Saccharomyces cerevisiae S288C: one gene and its partners. Changing the gene in region 4 together with the main gene of any one other region gives a genetic interaction. Each region holds a gene or a part of one and is shown on either strand. Other genes may lie near its edges.

Region 1 (5,616 bases), on a different chromosome or scaffold from region 4:
GTCAAAACGGTTTATCAGATTAACTCACGGATGTTACTTATCTTATATATTATATAAAATATGAATCATACTAAGTGGTGGAAGCGCGGAATCTCGGATCTAAACTAATTGTTCAGGCATTTATACTTTTGGGTAGTTCAGCTAGGGAAGGACGGGTTTTGTCTCATGTTGTTCGTTTTGTTATAAGGTTGTTTCATATGTGTTTTATGAACGTTTAGGATGACGTATTGTCATACTGACGTATCTCATTTTGAGATACAACAGTTTTCTATTTTTGAATCTTAGTGTTTTATGCTACGATGTAAGAATTGATAATGTAATGGAATATATGAGCTGCTGTACAAAGCGAAAGAAGAAATAGTGCTATGATTAAGTAAAATTATTGATACCTTTTGCAGAGTCTTATCTTCTTGAGGACTACTCGTAGGTTATTCTGTATACTTATAACCTCTAATAACGCTAAGAAATTGTCTCCATATCAACCTATTTCTCAAAACTCAATAAACTAAGATCCGTAGTTCTGTATAGTACTGAAAGTGTTCCTATTTTGGTGTCGTATGTTGCCATTCATTATTTTTAATAAATGCATTCCCACATCCACGAAATTGAAGACTTTTTGAAATTTGTTCTATTAGACATATGGTTTATATCTTCACTGTTTATAATAAATAGCTCCGTTAGAATTAATGAATGAGAGCATAAATACAAAAAATAGAAAAGATTTTGATATTACATAGAGCTGCTGATTCCTTTTATGAGTTCCTAATTTCTTAAGGAGAAGTTTCTGCCACAGTCCGTGAATGTAATAGTTATCTTCAACAAGAATGAGATTGCAAAAGACTAAATGTGGTAAGTATACGCTTGTCTGGGTGAGACAGCTATTTAGCAAGTTCTCTTTTTCTGCTTCAACTGTTCTATTTTCTGTATTTACTTTTTTTTTATATTTTCTCCGTATTTATGAAAATTCCTCTTCGGTAAAAGCACAGAATTAGACTTGAAATGTAAACAATATAAGACAGACAAACCTTTATCGAAGATAGAAGTGCTGATAAACAAACAATACGCCATAAGTGACGGTTCTTGGAGTCTTAAAAAGGTCTTTCTTGACTTTTTAGTTTCCTTTTTCTTCCAGTTTTACAAGAAAATCCAATGCGGTTAAAACAGAAAAAAATCATGATCGAAATACGTCCACTTTACTTTGTAATTGAGTTTTATCTTTTTTTTTTTGTTTCCTCTATACAACTATATACGTAAATACTTTTATGAGTACCATAAAAAAAAGAAACATCAAAAAGAAGTAAGAATGAGTGGTTAGGGACATTAAAAAAACACGTTTACTGTTGGAACTCATTAGCGTACTGTATGGCCTGGTTACCGTAGTCCGTAATGGTGTCATTTGCAGCTACATGATCGCTGACTTTGTTTCCACCAGCTATATCTGAGTGATCATTTCCAGTAGTGCCAGCGCCATTATGCGAATGCGCAGCCATGTTTAACTGAACTTGAGCCTGAGCCTGAGCCTGTGCCTGCGCCGCGGCAGCGGTGGCTGCAGCAACTTGGTCATCAAACGTGGCAGATATATCAATCTGTCCATCACTGCCACCAATCTTATGGAAGTCTAGGATTTCTGAGTACATCATAACACGCCAGGTATCGACAGGCAGATCAGCGTCATTAAAGTGCCAATCGAACTTGGCATCGGCTACTGGTTCATCCGTTGGATCGTGGTAAGGAGCCGAATAAGGATGAGCCAAGGCATCCGCCGCAGTGATTCTCTTCTTAGGATCAAAAACCAGCATTTTTTCCAAAAGGTCTACGGCATCAGGTTCGACTGTTTTAAATCTTTCAGAAAATGGAATTGGATCTCTGTGTGGTAACGAAGTAACAAATTTTAGAGTATTTTCGGAACAAATAGTATTTATCACATCCTTTGGCGGAGATCCCAACAAGTCAGTGATGATCGAAAATTGGTGAACATGATCTTTCCCAGGGAACAAAGGCTTACCTTCAATCATTTCGGCAAAAATACAACCAGCGGACCAAATGTCGACCTCGACGTCATATTTTTGCCACGTTAGCATGATTTCAGGTGCCCTGTAGTATCTAGTGGAAACATAGCCTGTCATTTGAGGGTCTTGAATTCTTGCTAGACCGAAATCGCAAATCTTCAAATCACAGTTTTCATTAATCAGAATGTTGCTCGGTTTCAAATCTCTATGAATGACGCCCGCGGAGTGAACGTATTTTAAACCCCTTAGAATTTGGTATAGGAAATACTGAACAAATTGCTTTTCCAAGGGTCTTGTTTGCAAGAGTCTATGTAAATCTGTTCCTTGTAATTCCGTGACAAAATATATATCTTCCAATGGAGAAAGAAATATGTCCTGAAGGCAAATCAAGTTCTCGTGTCTTAGATGTTTTAGTAGTTTTAGTTCACGATATGTCCTTTTGGCCAGCACTGCAGTGGAAAAAGGTTTCATGATTTTCTTAATGGCAACTGGCTGAGATGTCAAAGTGTCCGTGGCTGAGCAAACCAACCCAAATGCCCCCATCCCAACGGGGTTTAAATCATTGTATCTATTTGTGATCTCGAAAACTGTACCGAATATCTGTGTCCTAATGAATTCCTCGTTAGTGGTCATTATTATATACGATAGTTGTAGTTTTCCCTGTTTTCCCTTTGTTCCTTTTTTTCGAGTCTAGTATTTACCAATATAGAAGAAAGAGAAAATAAATAAGGTTTCTTGTTAGAGATTAGTTACTTTTGCTATTATTATCGCAAATTCCTCTTCCACTATACAAACAAGAAAGTAATTACTACTCTTATTGTAAGATAGTATGATAATTTCGACGATAGATAATATTTGCTTTTCGTTGGCCTTTTCTTTTTTTTTTTCCTTCCTTCCCTTCGAAGATCCTCCCGTATAATAACGCCGCCAGACCATGTAGGGTAACCAGAGAATACGCCCACTCCGCTTTCGCATGTGGCACTCCTGTATGTCAAAATGCCGAATAATCTCCATCCATGACGAAGCGCTTTGAGGTGTTTAATTATATACAGGGCAAAGTCTTGGAGATAAAGAACGCTTTCCTAACAACTTGCGCTATTCCTCTTATTTCCTTCAATCGATTAAAATTAACTTTTAATCGACATTGTCTTTTAAACCAGGGCAAAGCAAAATAAAAGAAACTTAATACGTTATGCCGTAATGAAGGGCTACCAAAAACGATAATCTCAACTGTAAACAGGTACAATGCGGACCCTTTTGCCACAAAACATACATCATTCATTGCCGGAAAAAGAAAGAAGTGAAGACAGCAGTGCAGCCAGCCATGTTGCGCCAATCTAATTATAGATGCTGGTGCCCTGAGGATGTATCTGGAGCCAGCCATGGCATCATGCGCTACCGCCGGATGTAAAATCCGACACGCAAAAGAAAACCTTCGAGGTTGCGCACTTCGCCCACCCATGAACCACACGGTTAGTCCAAAAGGGGCAGTTCAGATTCCAGATGCGGGAATTAGCTTGCTGCCACCCTCACCTCACTAACGCTGCGGTGTGCGGATACTTCATGCTATTTATAGACGCGCGTGTCGGAATCAGCACGCGCAAGAACCAAATGGGAAAATCGGAATGGGTCCAGAACTGCTTTGAGTGCTGGCTATTGGCGTCTGATTTCCGTTTTGGGAATCCTTTGCCGCGCGCCCCTCTCAAAACTCCGCACAAGTCCCAGAAAGCGGGAAAGAAATAAAACGCCACCAAAAAAAAAAAAATAAAAGCCAATCCTCGAAGCGTGGGTGGTAGGCCCTGGATTATCCCGTACAAGTATTTCTCAGGAGTAAAAAAACCGTTTGTTTTGGAATTCCCCATTTCGCGGCCACCTACGCCGCTATCTTTGCAACAACTATCTGCGATAACTCAGCAAATTTTGCATATTCGTGTTGCAGTATTGCGATAATGGGAGTCTTACTTCCAACATAACGGCAGAAAGAAATGTGAGAAAATTTTGCATCCTTTGCCTCCGTTCAAGTATATAAAGTCGGCATGCTTGATAATCTTTCTTTCCATCCTACATTGTTCTAATTATTCTTATTCTCCTTTATTCTTTCCTAACATACCAAGAAATTAATCTTCTGTCATTCGCTTAAACACTATATCAATAATGCAATTTTCTACTGTCGCTTCTATCGCCGCTGTCGCCGCTGTCGCTTCTGCCGCTGCTAACGTTACCACTGCTACTGTCAGCCAAGAATCTACCACTTTGGTCACCATCACTTCTTGTGAAGACCACGTCTGTTCTGAAACTGTCTCCCCAGCTTTGGTTTCCACCGCTACCGTCACCGTCGATGACGTTATCACTCAATACACCACCTGGTGCCCATTGACCACTGAAGCCCCAAAGAACGGTACTTCTACTGCTGCTCCAGTTACCTCTACTGAAGCTCCAAAGAACACCACCTCTGCTGCTCCAACTCACTCTGTCACCTCTTACACTGGTGCTGCTGCTAAGGCTTTGCCAGCTGCTGGTGCTTTGTTGGCTGGTGCCGCTGCTTTGTTGTTGTAAACTTAGTTTATTATTATTTATACATTCTAAATTTTTTATAAACTTTTTTGGCATTTAACAAATATATAACAATTGGGATTTAGTAGAAATTCTTTTAATTTCTTCTTTTTTTTTTTAATCTATATTTATTCTTTTTCTTTAATTTTGTTCGAAACGCATATAATGTTTTTATTGATTTTGTTTCAGGTTCCTGAACCTCGCGGAGTTCCTATTTTACTGTTGTTTTTTTTCAAAACACAGGGGTACCTTGAAGTATACGCAGTGCCTCTTAGCCAAGGATAATATAAACACACTAGAACAAAAAAAAAATACTCCTTGTACAGAATCGTTTTCTATTTTGAATTTTTTTTATATAAACATGGTTTTATTGTCTATTACATAGCATCTACAAATGAGCCAAGACACTTTCGACTGAGGAAACGGTCACATCGGTACCTGGGTTGGTTTCCTTGGCAGCGTAAGTAACGATACCGTTTTCAACAACCATGGCCCATCTACCACTCCAGTAAACACCGTCACCGACGGCTAATTCGAAACCAATGGATTTGGTGAAAGCACAGCCTGGGTCGGAGGCAAACTTGATGTGTGTGGTGTCCTTAACACCTAAACTCTTAGCCCACGCTTGGTTAGCGAACGGGTTGTCAACAGTAACAACGATCACTTGGTCAACTTCCTTTTCCTTAACTAATTCATCCAAGTAGTTGATGTAACCTGGAATATGGCTGACAGTACAGGTTGGGGAGAAAGCAGCTGGAGCACCGGTAATGATAACCTTCTTGTTTTCAGAAATTAATTTGGACCATTCAACTGTTTGTGGCATCTTACAAGATTCACTGTCAGCATCACTTTGGCTGATAGCAATGTATTGGAATTTGTAGTCGCCAGCTGGGAATTTCTTGTTAACTAAGTCAGACATGTTTTGTTGTGGTTATTGGTAGTACTTGTGTTGTTCTGGTTTGTTGAAATTTCGTTATAAAGAAACGGTATATGCACAATTGGCAAGGGAGAGGAAATTGTGCTCCTTTATATAATGTTTCGTTTATGCTTTTCC
Region 2 (5,117 bases), on a different chromosome or scaffold from region 4:
AATAAATCTGATTTTGTGACACTACATGTACCAGCTACTCCTGAAACTGAAAAAATGTTATCTGCCCCACAATTTGCTGCTATGAAGGATGGCGCTTATGTTATTAATGCTTCAAGAGGTACTGTCGTGGACATTCCATCTTTGATCCAAGCCGTGAAAGCCAACAAAATTGCAGGTGCTGCTTTGGATGTTTATCCACATGAACCAGCTAAGAACGGTGAAGGTTCATTTAACGATGAGCTAAATAGCTGGACTTCTGAATTAGTTTCATTACCAAATATCATCTTGACACCACACATTGGTGGCTCTACCGAAGAAGCCCAAAGCTCAATCGGTATTGAAGTGGCTACCGCATTGTCCAAATACATCAATGAAGGTAACTCTGTCGGTTCAGTCAACTTCCCAGAAGTGGCATTGAAATCATTGTCTTACGACCAAGAGAACACTGTGCGTGTGTTATACATTCACCAAAATGTACCAGGTGTTTTGAAGACCGTCAATGATATTTTATCGAACCATAACATCGAAAAGCAATTTTCCGATTCAAATGGTGAAATTGCTTATTTAATGGCTGATATCTCTTCTGTTGACCAAAGCGATATTAAAGATATTTATGAACAACTAAATCAAACCTCTGCTAAGATCTCAATTAGATTGCTATATTAATATGCAATCGATTCTCATACTGTCAACTTTTTGAACATGATTAAAAGTTTCCTATAAAATATTAAAAAGAACCAAAAAAAAAATGGATAGAAGAATGCTTGAGGCAATAATAATGATTATCTATTTTATATATACATACATAATCATTTAAGTTTTTTTTTTAAAGATATTTCGATTTAGCCGAATCTGCTCAATGCCTCTTCGATGACATCCTTGTGGTCTTCTGAAATTAGGCCTTGTTTGATTTGGTGGTTTCTTTTACGAATATTTTTCTCCTTATCCAGTTGTTTCTGTACTCTTAATTTTCTTTCATCAATAACGTTTTGAGTCTTTTTACGCAAAAAGGAACGCAAACCCGAATTCTTACCTTTCACATCAGGTTTTACATCTGGAATGTCGCTGTTGGTTTTGGCTTTATTATTAGCATCCATTGTAGTTTGCGCCAAATCCTTAGCGTTTAACCTTATGGTAGAAGACCTTTTATCCACTGAACCGATGGAATTCGGATCTAAAGTAATTGTATCTGCTGGCAGTTTGTTCAATAGGGTTCTGACTTCCTGTTCCTGTCTTTGTTTTTTGGTTTCGAATGGGTTTAATTCTAAGGCATCGTAATTGGCTTCACCTGCACCAGGTACAATCAAATTCGTAATACCCGTTTGATGGCCTACACCTAGTAAATCTTCAAATGGTACGAATCCCAAATTTTCTACTTTGTTTCCGGCAAACAAATGTGACATGTAAGGGGTGTTTCTATGTGGGTTCCCTCCCATGGACCCGAAGCACGGTTTACTGTCTCCACTTAATTTTAAAGCGTCCTTCCACAACGTAACGTGAGGGCCCCTAGATAATGCCAATAGACCAGTATCTGAAATGGAAACGTTTGTTCCTGGCGTCGGTAAGCTTTCCACAGAATGTAGTTGCTTGAAGTTTCTGATATCCCAAATTTTCATCGACCTATCAGCCCCTGTGGTTGCCATGTAATACCCGCTTCTATCGATAGCAATGCTGTTCACTGGTCCTCTGGCAGAAAGTAATTTTACTAATGGTTCAGGCATGGATGGTGACCAGAGGGATACTGTACCGTTTGAATGACCTAGATGCATCACAGCATTCCATGGGTTTTGTGCCATTGCCATAGTTGGCCCAGCTTTGGTCCTCAATTCCGAGACCAACTGGCCAGTGGAAACATCGTGGTACTTCAACCAACCTGTCTCACCGGCAGTTACGAGCAGGTAATGATATGGTAGAAAATCTAAATGTCTTGCCTCAATATGTTGTTTCAAACGATGTAATTCTGTACCTTCGTGATCATAAATAAATGTATATTTTTTTTGCGCTACAGCAAAGTATTGTTCGTTTTGCAAATATGTCGCTGAGTGACAGGTTTCATTCAAAAACAGCTCAGCACGAAGTTGTCCCTTTCTCCAGTCCATAGATGCTACGTGACCTTTGCGGCCAGTAATCAAAAGATGCGTACCGTTTTTTGCATATTTTATATGATAAGGGCCGAATTCCTTCAAAGATAAATCCAAAGCTTTGTTTGCAGTACTGACATCCACACTCGATTTGATTTCCGATTGTTGCACTTTGAAAGTCTTTTCTAGCTCATTCTCAGGTTCCAAATAACCATTGGACTCGGGTAAAAGGTAATCTGTTGCCGCAGCAGAAGATACCGCCTTTTTATATTGCTCGTCTATTTTTTTCAAGCCTGCTCTTAGTTTTTTATCCTTTGTTTGAGTATGATTATTTTTAGCATTATTAGTATATGTGGAACGTTCAAATTTATTCTGGTTTTCTCTTTCTTTTATCTGGCGTCTGTGACCGTTCTTCTTGTGACCCATTGTGTCGTTGGAATCTGGTTCAGTTTCTTAAAGCTAGGATACTGAGTTTTTAATGCTATATATGGATTTTTTTTTACTATTGAACTCCAATTCAGTTCTATACATCGATTTTTCACGAACTCATCGCTTAGAAAATTTTCTTACCGTTTTTCTTTTTTTTTCAATTACCTGAAAAGAAAGCCGGGAATAATGTCGGGTTATGAGAACAATGTATTATATTACTGAACTATCTAGAATTTATAAGTACGTCAATAAGCCTAAGACAATTAGCACAAACGAAATGTCAGTGATTAGCATGGACAATAGATCCCAGTATTGCAAAAGGGTAATTAGCTTCCCCTTCAGGTTGGCGACGGGAATTACTCCCTCGGGCACCAGTGAAACTAACTTGACAAGTTTATTGGTATCTTGTAAATTTTTAATCTTGCTCTTGTGTTCCACATTCTTCAATAGCTGGTAGTAGATGGATATGGAAAGGAACTCAAACGTGGCAAAAATTCTAGTGAAATTCGATGGGTTCCGCAAAGGTGCAAACCAAGCTGATTGAGTAAATGCATAGGCCGGCCACACAGAGGAATTTGGTCTTGTGATTAGGTATAGATAGGGTAGTAGGAAAAAGACCCACTTCACAAGAATGGTCCAGGCTTTCAGTCTGTTCAGCAAGTAATCATGGTAGTCCAAAGCAGCTTGATTGATCGGGGCTGCAGGAGCCGCTTGACCAAACGATGGTGTACCCTCTGCACTGGGCATGCCAGTGTTCATAGAACTTAGTAGTGAGAGTAGATCGGGCGTAGAGGAGTCCTGAGGGGTACTTTTACCCGTACCTTGGCCTTGCATGGCAGCGAGCTGTTTCAATAGGTCCAATTGGGGCGCTACGTTGCTATCTTCTTTGATATCTGGAGTAGCCGAATGCACACTCGCAGGTGGTGTGGTCTTTGCAGCGCTAGGAGCGTCTAAAGGTGATTCTGCGTTCAAATGACTGCTTGCCTGCCCGGTGATTTTATTAAGCCTGGAGCTGGCACCTCCATTGCTAAACTTCTTCTGTCTCCTTTCCCTTAGTAACCTGCGCTTTTCCGCCTCTGTTAATTCAGACATATTTCCTAGAGCTACGTTGCTGATGCTACAAACATGGAAGAGCTCATTTGTACATATCCATATCATTCAAATCTTTTCATGTTCCTATTCTTGTTCTTTTGTCCCAGCAAACGCGCACGGCGGGGTCACCCCAAATTTTTATTTACCTTATGTTATAAGAGCAACCATCTCATCCCCAAACTTCTCCCTCCCTCCCTTTTCACAAAGAGAGTAATGCTCAACCCAAGTAGCCATCCGCCTTCCCCGGATTTTCCCACAGGATCTTCTGCAAGTCCTAGGGTCAAACTGAGACCATCCACGTTGTGGGCACCACCACTCACAGTATCCTCTGACTTTGCGGCTTCCAGTAGTTCTACTGCCCCTGTCACCGTCACAGATAAACCTGTCACACCCGCTGTATCAAAGCGGTATCAACCTTAACTCAGATTTTCAAGAAACAGAATAGCACATTCTCTAACATCAAGTTATCATACCAATATATAACACAAATTATGCATAAATAGATAAGTAATATGTCCCTCTGCCCCTGCCTTTCCCTTTCCAGATGCTGGCATCGAAAGTAAGGCATGTATTTGTATGTAAGTTTTTTAATTAATAGTCTTCTTCTTTCTTATCAGTCGTGCTCTTCTTTCCAAATTAATAGGTTTGAATCTTATCGGAATCACCTGGAATTCGTTCTCATTACATGGCCGCCCACCATGCACCTTTACATTTCGTATTTCTTTCCTCTCTGCGCTATATCTTTGGGAAAGATTTGCAATCAAGGCAAACACCCGCTTGTCCCCTTTCAATTCTTGTGTTATTTCAAAAACCATCCTTTCATAATATATTTGTATTTCTTTCGCCCTGGACTCTACCAGTTCATATTTAGAACCTTCCACATATCGTCCAATTCTGCAGCCCACATCTTTTTCCACCACGATACGGGAAACAGAATGGGTCCTTGGATTCTCGCTAAACAGTCTCTCTATTCCCCTGTTCAAAACCCTCAAGATATTTGTTTCCCGCAACAGCTGCAATTGCAATTGATCAATCCTATGCGAAAATGCCGAGTTTATGTTATTCAAGACGCATTTTAAAAAATTCACTAGCGGCTCCTTGAAATTCATTATGTCTGATGAATATGAAAACCTTTTCCTGACTACCAAGACTCTTTAACTCTTCTCTCTTTATTGCATATTATCTCTGCTATTTTGTGACGTTCAATTTTAATTGACGCGAAAAAGAAAAAATAAGAAGGGCAAAAAGAAAAAGCGCAGCGGGTAGCAAATTTGGAATCGCATAAAAAGAAAAAAAAAATATCAAAGAAAAAGAGTCATCTCAAACATATGTCTGCAGATACTTCATTATCAGCTTTGAAAACTTTTGTTGTTGCTGCTTTGAGTTCTTTCTTGTGTGAGTGCTACAAGCCACATTTAAACTAAGTCAATTACACAAAGTTAGTGATGTCAGCTACTCTACTAAAGCAACCATTATGTACGGTTGTTCGGCAAGGTAAACAGTCCAAAGTGTCTG
Region 3 (7,222 bases), on a different chromosome or scaffold from region 4:
TTCCGAACACCTACCGGAAAAAAATAGCAGCCCTTAAGGGGAGAGTACGGCTCTTGGCATGACGGGAGGCAGGACAGCACTAAAGGCAGACTAGTCACTGAGCGCTCCAAGTTGGGTATGATAGTATCTTCAAGTTTTGGTCGAGTAGCTATTCCTCTTCTTCAAAGCCACTTACGCTTCGCCCAATAATGTCATGATTTACAAATAAACCTTCCTCTCCGAACCCTTAAAAGTAGGCAAATTGAGAAAATTTTTTGCTCGTCTTTTTTTCTCTCGTTTCGATTACCTTATTGGGAACTTCTCGAAGAACTCGGCGAAGAGGTCCAGAGGAAGATTACTGACTATCATCAAGCCTTGTTTCTTTTGGCCTCTTCAGTAAGCTGCAAATGCAGTATTGGCTTTTTTAAAAAAGAAAAAGAGAAGGAAAGCGGAAACTAGTCTTGTTGCTCTTCTAGTGCAGTTGTTGTTTGTTCATTTGTTTCTTAATAACAGTCAACGAGAAAACTTGCGCGTGCAGTAGGAAAATAAGTAGCAAATTACATTACATGGAAAACTTGCAACCATCTGTGAGCACAGGCGACCAATGAGTACTTTCAACAGTTACAGCCAGCCAAAGGAAAGCAATGATAATAGTCATAATAATGTCAACAAGAGCAAATCGCTGTTAGATATAATATTTGGTACTAATGTATCGGAATGGGCTTTTTCTGAGAATGCTTTAATGAAAGCTATGGATTTGAAAATAGAACAAGAAAAGACTAAGCAGCAATATTATAAACTTGAAAACTTGAATCGTTCGATAGAGTTGTTTAAGCTTGCTTCCAGTTCAGGTCTGCCCATAAATCAAATACATAAACTATTCAACACCGACCATGGCGTACCGGCGTCTTCGCCGATGAAGGCAGGGGGCAATCAACCACATAACAATACAGAAGGCACGCAATCTTCAGAAAATCTGCCCAGATTGAATGGTTCTATGAAGTCATTAAAACCTCTAAATATGAACACAGTGTCACCAACTCCAATGAGTCGACAGCCCTCTCCATATAAGTTTCCAGCATCATCCTCTACCGGCGGTATATCACACTCCACAGTTACAAATGTACAACGAAGAGCTAATTCTCCTGCAAGAATAGGTGCATCCGCAGTTGCTGCGTTGAATGACAATATTTCCATTAAGGAGGAAGATGTGGCTAGGCGAATTCCCTCTGGTACAAAATCTCAAGAATCGCCTTTAAACAAGAAGCCGACTTCTCTTCACAGCCGTAACTTGTCACTTCCAATAGGAAAGTTCACCAATCCTAATATTCCTTCTACAATGACATCCATACTAAGTTTCAATAGAGACCAACAGCAGCCGCTATCTCAACCACTGCCTCCTCCTCCACAACAGCAACAGGATCTCCACACGCACAATTTACATACTATACCAAGGAAACCTGGAATGGTTCAAAAAAAGCATAGGCGTGCAAGATCCACATCCTCCTTTGGAGTGATCGATTTAAGTATTATCGATGAAGCAAAAGAAAAACAAGTACAGAGATCACCATCCCCTATACATTCTAACGTGTCCGTAGCACTTACCTCACATGACAAACCAATTGAATCCAATATGAAGGAACAACCAAATATGCTGCAATCGGTTCGTGAAGGACGTCAAGTACACGATGACTTGGATGACAGAACATGCAGTGAAAGCAGTAGTAGAAACGAAAGCCCCGTAAGAACCATCACAAAGGATAATTCTGTAGGCAAGATTTTAAATAGTACTTGAGTGATCATTATTTTCTTTTTGATGTTCCCCCTACGTATGTATACACCCATATATTATATAGATACCCGCCGCATACCAACATAAAAAAGGTAACAAATATTTGAGATATAGAGCATCGCTACATTATGGGCAAGATGCGTCTTTGTGAGACGATTTTAAACAGAAGTTGTTCATCTCTCAGTGATCAATACCTATCAACATGTCAAATTCATCAGTGGAAAAATTTAAAATTTCGAATACCTGATCCTTCTTGTTCGGATACAAATGAATCAACAGTTTCCTGAAGATATTATAAAATAGCGACAACTTCTTGAAACATTCATCGCATATTTCATCAGCTATCATTGGTGACGTTAATTTAAATAGTAAATTACCTTGAACATCTGTTAACGCCTGAGGTAGATAATAGTTCAACTTATCATGCACATTTTTTCTGACCATGTCTAATTCCATCAATGAATTATCCCTCAGGGCTAAGTACATATCATAATCCAATTCATCCTTTACTGAGTCCACAGGAAAAATCATATTGACCAAATTGCTGTAAAGGTCTAAACCTGTATTCTCAAATAGGAATTTTATTTGTAAAGTTAGCATTTGCTTAGTATATTCCTTCAGTTTATCACAAACCCAGATGGTGATTTTCCGGCTGTCATCATCTTGTGCAAACAATCCCTCAAAAGGTTGAAGTCTAGATTTAATTAAATCGAAACAGTTTATCTCTATAGTTAGCAATGATGCCTTTTCTTTTTCATTTTTTTTCGCCAAAGGAAAAGATGTTTGCAATTGTTTTAACAGAACATCTTTTATTGGTTGTTCTACAATTGTTTGTAAATTCTTAGATGAGAGCAATTTATTATCTTCTGATTCCTCATCTTCGGCAGCATGTGTCTTTTCATAAATTTCAAATAACTCTACCAATTTATTCATATACTCTGATAGCCACTCTGGTGGCAGTAAATCATCTGAAGAATTTTTTGTTTCCGCCATGACTGTTTGCTTCATATAGTCTTCATAGTATCCAATAATTCTGTTTTTGGAAATGTCTTCCAACGACTTTAAATTGTTAATAATAGAACTATCGTCCTGAATTCCCTTTCTCTCGAACATAACTCTGTAAAGTTTCAGCAGCCTCACAATCTCGAAATTGATGATCGGATTTTCTTCAAACCTCACGATTTGCTCGATACGAATACGACACGAATTGGATAGCGACTGGATGATATCGTTCAGCAATTTGTTGTCGATGCCTTTCAAGAATGTCTTGTTTTGTTGAAGTATAGAAATTGGGGTATCTTTTAAGTCTTCATCCTGAAAGTCAAATAGTGACTTCACGAAATCAGCTTCATTTGCGATGATGGAATGAACGGACGCTAGTACGTCACCAATATACCTAATTGGATCGTGTGCCGATAATATGATGGGTTTAGAGGTAGTTGAATTCATATCGAATTGAGACAAAAACTCATCCAGAATACTCTTGGATCTCAGTGTGGTCACTCTTTTCAACAACTCATTAAATAATTCTAGATCACTTGACAGGAAGACCAGACTCTTCCGAAAAATGTTTAAGCTTTCTTGTTCAGTAGTACCATGGTCATTTAATAAATTTGAAGAGGATTCAAAACTATATAAAAAATCGATCAAATAATTGAAGATTTTTTTGTTTGTCTTTTCTAAAATTTCATTAACTCCCATTATCAAAGCATTTCCAGCATTCAAATTAGGAAGCGTCAGCAAGAAACTTGATTCATCTTTAATATTGATTACTTTCTTTACTACCTCGAAAAAGATGTTGTCTATAGTACCATTGGTGATTACATCGTCCTCTACCTGATTCAAAGTAAACCTATCCCTTATAGATAACAGTATTTTTTTTTTCAGCTTCAACTGCTCTGCCTTTAAACGGTATTGATCTATTTCCTGAAGTACCACGTTATTTGTTGGAACCTCATTTGTCTCATTACTTAGTAATTTTTCGCTCGTTCTTTGTATTTTTTCGACGGAAGAAGATAATCGTTTAATCCTTCTAATGATAGGTTTGAATTCCTCAAGTACCGTAATATGTTCCTTTAGCAGTTGAGATTCCAAATCAGTCCTCAATGCTCTTCTTGCCAAAGTACCTACATATTCAGGATTCATGAGCTTTTGTTCATCAAGGGACAATCTCTCTTTATTCTCTTCTAGAACCTTTAGGGATTTTCTTAGTTGGACTGTGGCCTGATAGTTAATCAATGTGTAATTGTTCAATATCTTGGATAGTTTATTCGAAAGAACCAAATTTGTGGTATTTTTGTTGGAACCACTTGACGGGGATACTAATTTTGATAAATCAAGGTTTTTTGGCTCGTAATTCGTGAAATTTTGAGATTCTTGCTGCGATAGTTTTTCATCCTGGGAATTTTGCCCTAATTGTTTGCTTGGATTTGAAAGCTGTATTTTATCAATGGAAGACATTGCGTAATGTGTCATTTTCTTATGTAGGTCTTTCGAACCAGCACCATCATTATCTACTGGCAAAGTTGCATTATTATTGGAATAACGTTGAAGGTCGGGCAACTTAAACTGTAGATCTAGTTTACCGGTGGGCTGTGACTGTGCATCTGAGGTTAAGTTTAGTCTTGGCTCAGGTTCTGGTAATTCTGGCGTGGCAGTATCCGCCATTGCGTAGGTCTGATAGTCTACAACGAAATCCATTGTGAGTAAACTTCACTGGGGATTTTGTTACGATAATGTACAATATACTTCAGATACTACAGCTTTCGGATGAATATTTACTAGAATGAATTACTACCTTAGATGTATATTTTGTATGAAAGCGTCATTACGCCAGTTGTATGTATTTTGTCGTCTGAGACGGCAGGTGATATATAAGTAAAATGGAAGTATAAACGAACAGAAAGCAATCATTAACAATTTACTTATAGATTTCGACTAACATACGCATCGGTAGGATTAGATACCAGTTTTTGAAATCCAATTTTTCCCTCGTATATGGAATGTGCTGAGAGTTTTCCTCAGGGATATGCGTATCAACAAAAGAGAGGTGGTAATACATGCAATCATATAGCGGTTTGTTTCTTTAATACTATATGTTGTCACTTATAATCCTGTTATATTATTGATCTTTAGGTTTCAGCTGATCCTTCTAATATCCCTCTATTGGTTTCGTAATTCGTGTTATCCTTTAAGAAGATCCTAGCGACATAATCATACTATCAACTGTTATGTTACCGTTTGGTGAACAGTTGGCTTTTTGCTCCGGCATTTTTGATTAAAAATAGGCTCTTGTTAAGCTACTGGAATTTTTCTATATTACCAGGCTACTCTTGATATGGCACCGGAATGTAATAGGAGTTACAAGACCATTTCAAGTTAAAGAAAAATTACTGGAAAAAGGGTAGTAACGTACGTGGACGAAATAAATAAGAAGGACGTAAATTTAATACAAATGCACAAGTAAAGTTATCGGCTCCTATTCTTCACTAATTCCATGCATATTAAGAACTGCTGGAATAAGAATTGACCGTTGCTTATTGACTAGTGGCCATGTTACTAGTATACCTATCACACACAATGTAAGAAAGTGACATAAGCCATGAGATACAATCTCAAATCTAGTAAAAGCCGAAATACAAGAACTGATGATGTAACAGAGTAATGCATAACAACGTGCAATGCAAAGGAAGAAATAATAGTGTTATTACGTAGGACATTGATTTCCTGTCATGACTATTATATCCTCAATGAGCGCATATAATGCATTCTGTATATTCAATAATACCACCTTATCAAATAACGAATACCATCGATTATCAGTAAATTCATGTATCACTCGCGTAAATTCTGAAATTCAGCCCACTAGGAAGACGTTTATATCAGTTTACTTTTGTACAAGTGACTTATTGCAAGCAATTTGTACGAAATATGCTTACACTTTTCATTAGTAAAAGAACCAACCACCCATCATTAACATCTTTTTATTTTTTATCCTTATCGTGTAAAAAAAACTTAAGAATAGACATCCTGGTGACGCATATCGACGAAAGCACACAACAGCGTCAAAAATTGATTAAAAGGTAAGTTATCATGCCCACACCTATGACGCCTGTCAAGGTCGGCGCTTTAGCCTGCCAGAGGAACTCATTTCTCTTCGATGGGTTCAAAACACTGGTTGTTTCTTGCGAACCAACGAAGAATAAAAAGGGAGAGATTGAAGGTTATGAGATTGAACTACAAGATACTATTCTGTTCCCCGAAGGTGGGGGCCAACCAAGTGATTCTGGTTTTTTGAAAATTGTTGAAGGGAATCGTAATTCGTCGAAAATTGAGAAGATATTAGTTTCACACGTTTCTCGTTTCGGTTTACATGCAAAGCATCATGTCAATGACTACATTGAGCCCGGAACAACAGTGGAAGTGGCCGTGGACGAGCAAAAGAGAATGGATTATATGCAACAACATACTGGTCAACACTTGTTAAGTGCCATTCTGGAACGCAACTACAAAGTAGACACTGTATCTTGGTCGATGGGTGGTATCATCACAAAGAAAAAACCTGTTCTAGAGCCTAGCGACTATTTCAATTATATAGAGTTGAACAGGAAATTGACTCTCGACGAAATAACGAACGTATCAGATGAGATTAATCAGTTGATCATCAACTTTCCTCAGGAAATTATTGTAGAGGAAAGAATCGGTGAAGAAACAGTAGATGAAGTTAGTACATCCAAAATTCCAGACGATTACGACCTCTCCAAAGGTGTTCTACGTACTATCCACATCGGTGACATTGATTCTAACCCATGTTGTGGTACACATTTGAAATGTACCTCTCAAATAGGTTCCATTTTAATTCTTTCCAATCAATCAGCCGTAAGAGGTTCAAACTCAAGGCTCTATTTCATGTGTGGGAAGCGGGTTTCTTTGTATGCAAAATCTGTTAATAAAATTTTACTGGATTCTAAAAACTTATTGAGTTGTTCAGAAACTCAAATTTCTGAGAAGATAACAAGGCAAACCAAACAAATTCAACAATTAAATAAAAGAGAACAGTATTGGATAAAGAGATTAGCACGTACCGCTTCTGAAGAATTAATGAACACACTGAAAGCCAGTGGAAAGAAAAGGGCTTATTTTATGGAAGAAGAATACGGAACATTGGAACTGTTGCTACAGATCCACAAGGAAGTATCTAATTTTTTGAAAGATGATACAGAAGGTTACGAAATTATCCTATGCGGTTATGAAAGACAAACGAACACTGGCTCACTGCTAATTCTTTCGGAATCGGGTGAAAAAATTGCCAATTTGGCTGCTAACTTAGGTTCGATACTACAAAACCTAAAAGGCGGTGGTGGTAAGAAAGGTGGCAAGTGGCAAGGTAAAATTACATCCATTTCGAATGCCGAGTTTGCCGCCCTCTCTGATTATTTAAGCCATGATTTC
Region 4 (6,351 bases):
TCAGTATTAACACATTACCAAATCTGTTTGGTTCTACATAGAACGCCATAAAAGTAAGAAAAAAATGTCTGTGCACGCTGCAACAAACCCAATCAATAAGCATGTGGTTCTAATTGACAACTACGATTCCTTTACCTGGAACGTTTACGAGTACTTGTGCCAGGAGGGCGCCAAAGTGAGCGTCTACCGTAACGATGCAATTACAGTTCCAGAAATTGCCGCCTTGAATCCCGACACATTGCTTATCTCGCCTGGACCAGGCCACCCAAAGACAGATTCTGGCATTTCAAGAGACTGTATCCGGTACTTTACTGGGAAAATTCCTGTATTTGGAATCTGTATGGGCCAGCAATGCATGTTTGACGTATTTGGTGGTGAAGTTGCCTACGCTGGTGAGATTGTCCACGGTAAAACGTCCCCAATCTCTCACGACAACTGTGGAATTTTCAAGAACGTGCCGCAAGGTATTGCTGTGACAAGATACCATTCATTGGCCGGGACAGAATCGTCCCTACCATCCTGCTTGAAGGTTACTGCGAGTACCGAAAATGGAATTATCATGGGTGTAAGACACAAGAAGTACACTGTAGAAGGTGTGCAATTTCATCCGGAATCCATCTTGACCGAGGAAGGTCATCTGATGATCAGGAACATTTTAAACGTCAGTGGAGGCACTTGGGAGGAAAACAAATCATCTCCTTCAAATTCTATTTTGGACCGTATCTATGCTCGGCGTAAAATAGACGTCAATGAGCAGTCTAAAATCCCAGGTTTCACCTTTCAAGACTTACAATCTAACTATGATTTAGGTCTTGCCCCACCGTTACAGGATTTCTACACGGTGTTGTCATCATCCCATAAAAGAGCCGTTGTTCTTGCTGAAGTCAAGCGTGCCTCTCCATCGAAGGGACCCATTTGTTTAAAAGCTGTTGCTGCTGAACAGGCTCTCAAATACGCAGAGGCTGGTGCATCCGCAATTTCCGTATTGACCGAACCTCATTGGTTTCACGGTTCGTTACAGGATTTAGTAAATGTGAGGAAAATCCTAGATTTGAAATTTCCTCCCAAGGAGAGGCCTTGTGTTTTGAGAAAAGAATTTATTTTCAGCAAGTATCAAATACTAGAAGCAAGATTAGCTGGAGCTGACACTGTCCTTCTTATAGTCAAGATGCTATCTCAACCCTTATTGAAGGAACTGTACAGCTACAGTAAAGATTTGAACATGGAACCTCTCGTTGAGGTGAACTCCAAAGAGGAATTACAAAGGGCTCTAGAAATTGGTGCTAAAGTTGTAGGTGTCAATAATAGGGACCTGCATTCATTCAACGTAGACCTAAATACCACCAGTAACTTGGTAGAATCTATTCCAAAGGATGTTCTTCTAATTGCTCTATCGGGAATTACCACCAGGGACGATGCTGAAAAATACAAAAAAGAAGGTGTCCATGGATTTTTAGTGGGTGAAGCCCTAATGAAATCAACCGATGTGAAGAAGTTCATTCATGAATTATGCGAATAATTGAAACTTACACGGTACAATAGGGAAAAAAACTTAACGTTGTAAGGGCGAACGCCTTCATGTATAGTAGCCTATAGAAGATATATATATATATATATATATATATATATGACCATGAAAGATAAAGTAAAAAAGAAAATAAATAGCTTGTTCTTCCCTCTGGGGCCGGCGTTCATTTTTTTATTTTTTTATTTTTTAACTTACTTTTTTTCTCGTTTTTATCATATTTTCGGTTTTACGTTTTGGATTTACAATAATCATCATTTTATCACATATAGAACTCATTAATCTCTTTTTAAAGGATCCGGCTTGGAAAATTTAGGACTCTGTGCATATTTCAAACCTTTGAATTGTTGTTCTTTATCATGCGTTTGATGAACGACCAAGAACCCAACGTCTACTAACTTAGGCCAGTTGACAAACTGAATACCGTTCTTAAACATGAATTTGGTTGAAAGCGCCAAGACAATCGACGCACCTGCAAAATACAGCAAATTCTTACTGCTGGTAAATCTATCTTTAGGAAAAAATATCGTAGCACCTAAAACGGTCAAGGCTGCGCAAATGATCATTGGGATCAGCTGAATATACACTGGTCTTCTGTCGGGGAATGGCGACTTGATAGAAGCGGTATGTGGTCTAAATCCACCAAGGAATAAATCGTATGAATCCTGTCTTGGACCATCAGTCCAATTGTTCTGGTAATAACGTGATGCTGAATTCAAAAAATCGTTGAATGCACCTAGACGTGTACGCTTACCGGTTCTTGTGAAATCGGTCTTCAAAGCTCCAGTGCCCGAATATGCCACACTAACTGCATCTGCATTATCAGCCCATAAGTTTTGGTAAGAAGTTAACAATGGAGCGTTGTCTTCCCAAGTGCTTCCAGTAGCAACGACATCGGCACTTTCAAACTCCTTTTGCAAAACCCACTGGGCTAAAACAGATTGAACGACATTTGTTCTGTCCAAACAATCCATACAGTTTGTTCTTACAACGGAATGTTGCTCATTAACAATTTCAACGGTGTTACCATTAGAGTCTATGACCTTGTGGAAGAAATCTTCGTTAGATAAACCTAATTTCTCCAGGTGATCAATTAACAATTTCACTCTATGCCATTGCATCTTACGACATTCATGGTGGAAGTCAAAATACACGTAGTGAATCTTCGGATCGTTTAGCGCGTGCACGACTGATTCATAGCCCTCTTTCACGGGTAGTTCGTGGCCCTTTTGGTTGACTAGGTTAACCAAGTAGTTGTCGCCATATAACTCCTTTTGCTGGTCAAAATGCTTTTTTGTCGCATCTAATGAGTTTTCTCCAAGAACAAGATTTGGCTTGTACTTCAAGTTGTTGATTTCAGCCCAGTATATTGGCACAGATCCTCTTGTCTGTAAGAAGGAGAAAACGTGTATTTTTTCACTCTCTGGATTCTCAGCGAGTAAAATTTGCTCAGTTTCATTGAAATTGCCAACGTTACCGTCTTTGTCAACACCACGACGGAAGTATCTTGTGCCCGCCCTAAATATACTACGTCTGGTAATCAAACCAAGAACGATAGGGGTGGCATTCAAAACGGCGTCCACTGTCTTGGCATACCCATAGATAACAGGTTGTATAAAGGAGTCAATTCTAGGATCTTGATGAGCAAAGTTTCTCAAATCTTCAGTTAAGTAATGGTTCCAAAAGAATCGTTCATCAGCGGTTTTCCAGGAGGCTGCAGGACCAACCTTTTCATTTCTTTGTAAGGAATTTGTTAAATCATATGTGTATGAAAAATAAAAGGTGGAATTTTTCAAATGCAACTCCAGTAGCTTGATATATTCGGCTTCTTCAGAATCGATTCTCGAGTTAAACTTGGTAGATACGATAGAATGTTGCAACACTCTATAGAAAACGTGGCCATTGAATCTACCGGTCTCTTCCACAGTATTTGCGATAATGGCATACCTGTTCAACTTTAGCTTAATGAACCCCATCAAGGACGCAATCTTTACTACTTCACCTTGCACAGGAAATTCCTCTGCTCCAAGGACCCGAACACCTTGATCTTGATTGGCCAAGTGAATAACAGCATCGTTAGTTCCTTTGCCCTCAGCAAGCTTGAAGAAGATACCGTCCGCATTTTGAACGTACACTATTGGACCTGTCATATCTAGACGAGAAAATATACGTGTATATAAATATTATCGTTACTGTTATAGGGATATGGTTTCTAATCCTTTCTCCTATTTCCTTATCTAAACCTGTGGTATTTTTCCCTTGCCTTTTCAACTTCAATAAGCTGGAATTAAATTTGTAGTGTGGGTAAGCAGTAGTGCAGCAATGCGTGCGTGTGCAAGCTCTTGAATATTGAAGGTCTACAGGTTACTAAAACAATAGGAGCGAGGCTTGGACGTCGAGAAAGTTGCTGACCTTGGCATTTCCTTTGCGAGTTTTTCAAAATTTTTCACACTCGTTCAGGACCACGAAAAATAAATCATATGAGATTTTAGTACGCTGATAATAAGGGAAGGCCACTGTCTTGGCTTATTTTATATATATATATTCATGTGTGATAGTAAGGTGTAGAGCAGCAGATTTGGAGTATGGGATATCAATTGAGTGCAACACTTAAAGGGCACGATCAGGACGTCAGGGATGTGGTAGCTGTGGATGATTCAAAGGTTGCTAGTGTTTCGAGGGATGGAACAGTTCGCTTGTGGTCTAAAGATGACCAATGGCTCGGTACGGTAGTTTATACAGGACAAGGATTTTTAAATAGTGTGTGTTATGATTCCGAGAAGGAGTTGTTGCTTTTTGGAGGTAAGGATACTATGATCAACGGTGTGCCCTTGTTTGCCACCTCAGGAGAGGATCCCTTGTATACCTTGATTGGCCACCAAGGGAACGTTTGTAGTTTATCCTTCCAAGATGGTGTTGTGATAAGCGGTAGTTGGGACAAAACCGCAAAGGTTTGGAAAGAAGGATCGTTGGTTTACAATTTGCAAGCACACAATGCCTCTGTATGGGATGCCAAAGTCGTATCCTTCTCAGAAAATAAATTCTTGACAGCTTCCGCCGATAAGACGATTAAACTGTGGCAAAACGATAAAGTGATCAAAACTTTCAGTGGGATTCACAATGATGTAGTAAGACATTTAGCTGTGGTGGATGATGGCCATTTTATCAGTTGTTCAAACGATGGCCTCATCAAGTTGGTTGATATGCATACAGGTGACGTACTAAGAACATATGAAGGCCATGAAAGCTTTGTTTATTGCATTAAACTGCTGCCCAATGGAGATATTGTAAGCTGCGGCGAAGACCGAACAGTCCGTATATGGTCAAAGGAAAATGGTTCGTTAAAGCAGGTAATTACACTTCCTGCCATCTCTATTTGGTCCGTTGATTGTATGTCTAATGGTGATATTATTGTGGGAAGTAGTGATAATCTTGTGAGAATATTTTCGCAAGAGAAGTCAAGATGGGCTTCCGAGGATGAAATAAATGAACTATCTACGCAAGTGGAAAAATCCACTATAAGTTCCAAGACAATAGAATTTGATGAGTCTAAACTATCACCTTATGAAATTTTACAATCGCCGGGGCGCAAAGAGGGTCAAATTGTGGTAGTCAAATCACCTCAAGGTACTATAGAAGCTCATCAATTTTCAAATTCTTCATGGAAAAAGGTTGGTGATGTTGTCGGTGCAGGTGCTACTGGAAACGACAAAAAAATAGAATTCGAGGGTAAAACGTATGACTACGTATTTGATGTGGATATTGAAGATGGAAAACCTCCCTTGAAATTGCCGATTAATGTCAGCGACAACCCATATACAGCAGCCGACAATTTTTTGGCTCGTTATGAACTGCCAATGAGTTATAGGGATCAAGTAGTACAGTTCATACTGAAGAACACTAATGGCATATCGCTAGACCAGCCCAACGATAATGCATCATCTTCTGCAGTATCACCTTCAAAAACGAGCGTAATGAAGGTTCTTCCTGTCAAGCAGTATCTTATCATGGAAAATTATAACCCAGATACTATTTTCAATGGAATAGTAAAAATAAATTCAAATGAGAAGACCTTTGATGATGAAATTCTGGCGCAAATTGGTGGCGCACTACATGACATAGATGAAAGCTGGGAGTTGCTACTTTCATTTGCTAACACTATAAGATCTAACTGGGAAATTAAGACTCCTGCATACGACATAGTACGATTGATTGTAAAAAAATTACCTTATTCTTCAGATATAAAAGATTACATCGAAGAAGGCTTGGGCAATAAGAATATCACTCTAACCATGTTAACTGTGCGTATTTTGGTAAATTGCTTCAATAATGAAAACTGGGGTGTGAAATTACTGGAATCAAATCAAGTTTATAAATCAATTTTTGAGACTATAGATACTGAATTTTCTCAGGCATCTGCTAAACAGTCACAGAATTTGGCTATTGCAGTTTCCACACTAATTTTCAACTATTCAGCTCTCGTCACGAAAGGGAACTCTGATTTAGAACTTTTGCCTATCGTAGCTGACGCCATCAACACCAAGTATGGGCCATTGGAAGAGTATCAAGAATGCGAAGAAGCCGCATATAGGCTAACCGTAGCTTACGGAAATTTGGCTACTGTTGAACCTACATTAAGACAATTTGCCAACTCCGTAACTTGGCTTGCAAACATCAAAAGGAGCTATGGGAACGTGCCAAGGTTTAAGGATATTTTCGACGATCTCTCCTAATACTTTTACAGCAATCATATAAAACACATAATGTCTAGATAGCAAATAATCTTTAAAATTCTTTCTGCCCTATTGAAAATTATGACAAACTAT

What was found.
Region 1: mutations in SAC1 (region 4) and HOG1 together harm fitness more than expected from each alone (negative genetic interaction), as found in Saccharomyces cerevisiae (6 studies listed by BioGRID, with this or other methods).
Region 2: mutations in SAC1 (region 4) and GET2 together harm fitness more than expected from each alone (negative genetic interaction), as found in Saccharomyces cerevisiae (6 studies listed by BioGRID, with this or other methods).
Region 3: mutations in SAC1 (region 4) and COG6 together harm fitness more than expected from each alone (negative genetic interaction), as found in Saccharomyces cerevisiae (5 studies listed by BioGRID).

Annotation. Positions count from the first base shown.
Region 1 is NC_001144.5:368,646-374,261, reverse strand, and holds HOG1 (mitogen-activated protein kinase HOG1), read right to left. Parts: upstream 2,643-5,616; coding exon 1,335-2,642; downstream 1-1,334. Other genes in the region: YLR112W (uncharacterized protein), read right to left, coding at 3,052-3,471; YLR111W (uncharacterized protein), read right to left, coding at 3,539-3,871; CCW12 (Ccw12p), read left to right, coding at 4,164-4,565; thioredoxin peroxidase AHP1, read right to left, coding at 4,951-5,481. UniProt on the Saccharomyces cerevisiae protein: Proline-directed serine/threonine-protein kinase involved in a signal transduction pathway that is activated by changes in the osmolarity of the extracellular environment.
Region 2 is NC_001137.3:323,430-328,546, forward strand, and holds GET2 (GET complex subunit GET2), read right to left. Parts: upstream 3,603-5,117; coding exon 2,745-3,602; downstream 1-2,744. Other genes in the region: phosphoglycerate dehydrogenase SER3, read left to right, coding at 1-666; UTP7 (Utp7p), read right to left, coding at 843-2,507; YER084W (uncharacterized protein), read left to right, coding at 3,636-4,022; YER085C (uncharacterized protein), read right to left, coding at 4,190-4,711; threonine ammonia-lyase ILV1, read left to right, coding at 5,048-5,117. UniProt on the Saccharomyces cerevisiae protein: Required for the post-translational delivery of tail-anchored (TA) proteins to the endoplasmic reticulum.
Region 3 is NC_001146.8:547,517-554,738, forward strand, and holds COG6 (Golgi transport complex subunit COG6), read right to left. Parts: upstream 4,472-7,222; coding exon 1,952-4,471; downstream 1-1,951. Other genes in the region: BOP3 (Bop3p), read left to right, coding at 584-1,774; YNL040C-A (uncharacterized protein), read right to left, coding at 4,962-5,042; YNL040W (putative alanine--tRNA ligase), read left to right, coding at 5,864-7,222. UniProt on the Saccharomyces cerevisiae protein: Acts as a component of the peripheral membrane COG complex that is involved in intra-Golgi protein trafficking.
Region 4 is NC_001143.9:31,867-38,217, reverse strand, and holds SAC1 (phosphatidylinositol-3-phosphatase SAC1), read right to left. Parts: upstream 3,676-6,351; coding exon 1,804-3,675; downstream 1-1,803. Other genes in the region: TRP3 (bifunctional anthranilate synthase/indole-3-glycerol-phosphate synthase), read left to right, coding at 65-1,519; DOA1 (Doa1p), read left to right, coding at 4,111-6,258. UniProt on the Saccharomyces cerevisiae protein: Phosphoinositide phosphatase which catalyzes the hydrolysis of phosphatidylinositol 3-phosphate (PtdIns(3)P) and phosphatidylinositol 4-phosphate (PtdIns(4)P). Has low activity towards phosphatidylinositol-3,5-bisphosphate (PtdIns(3,5)P2).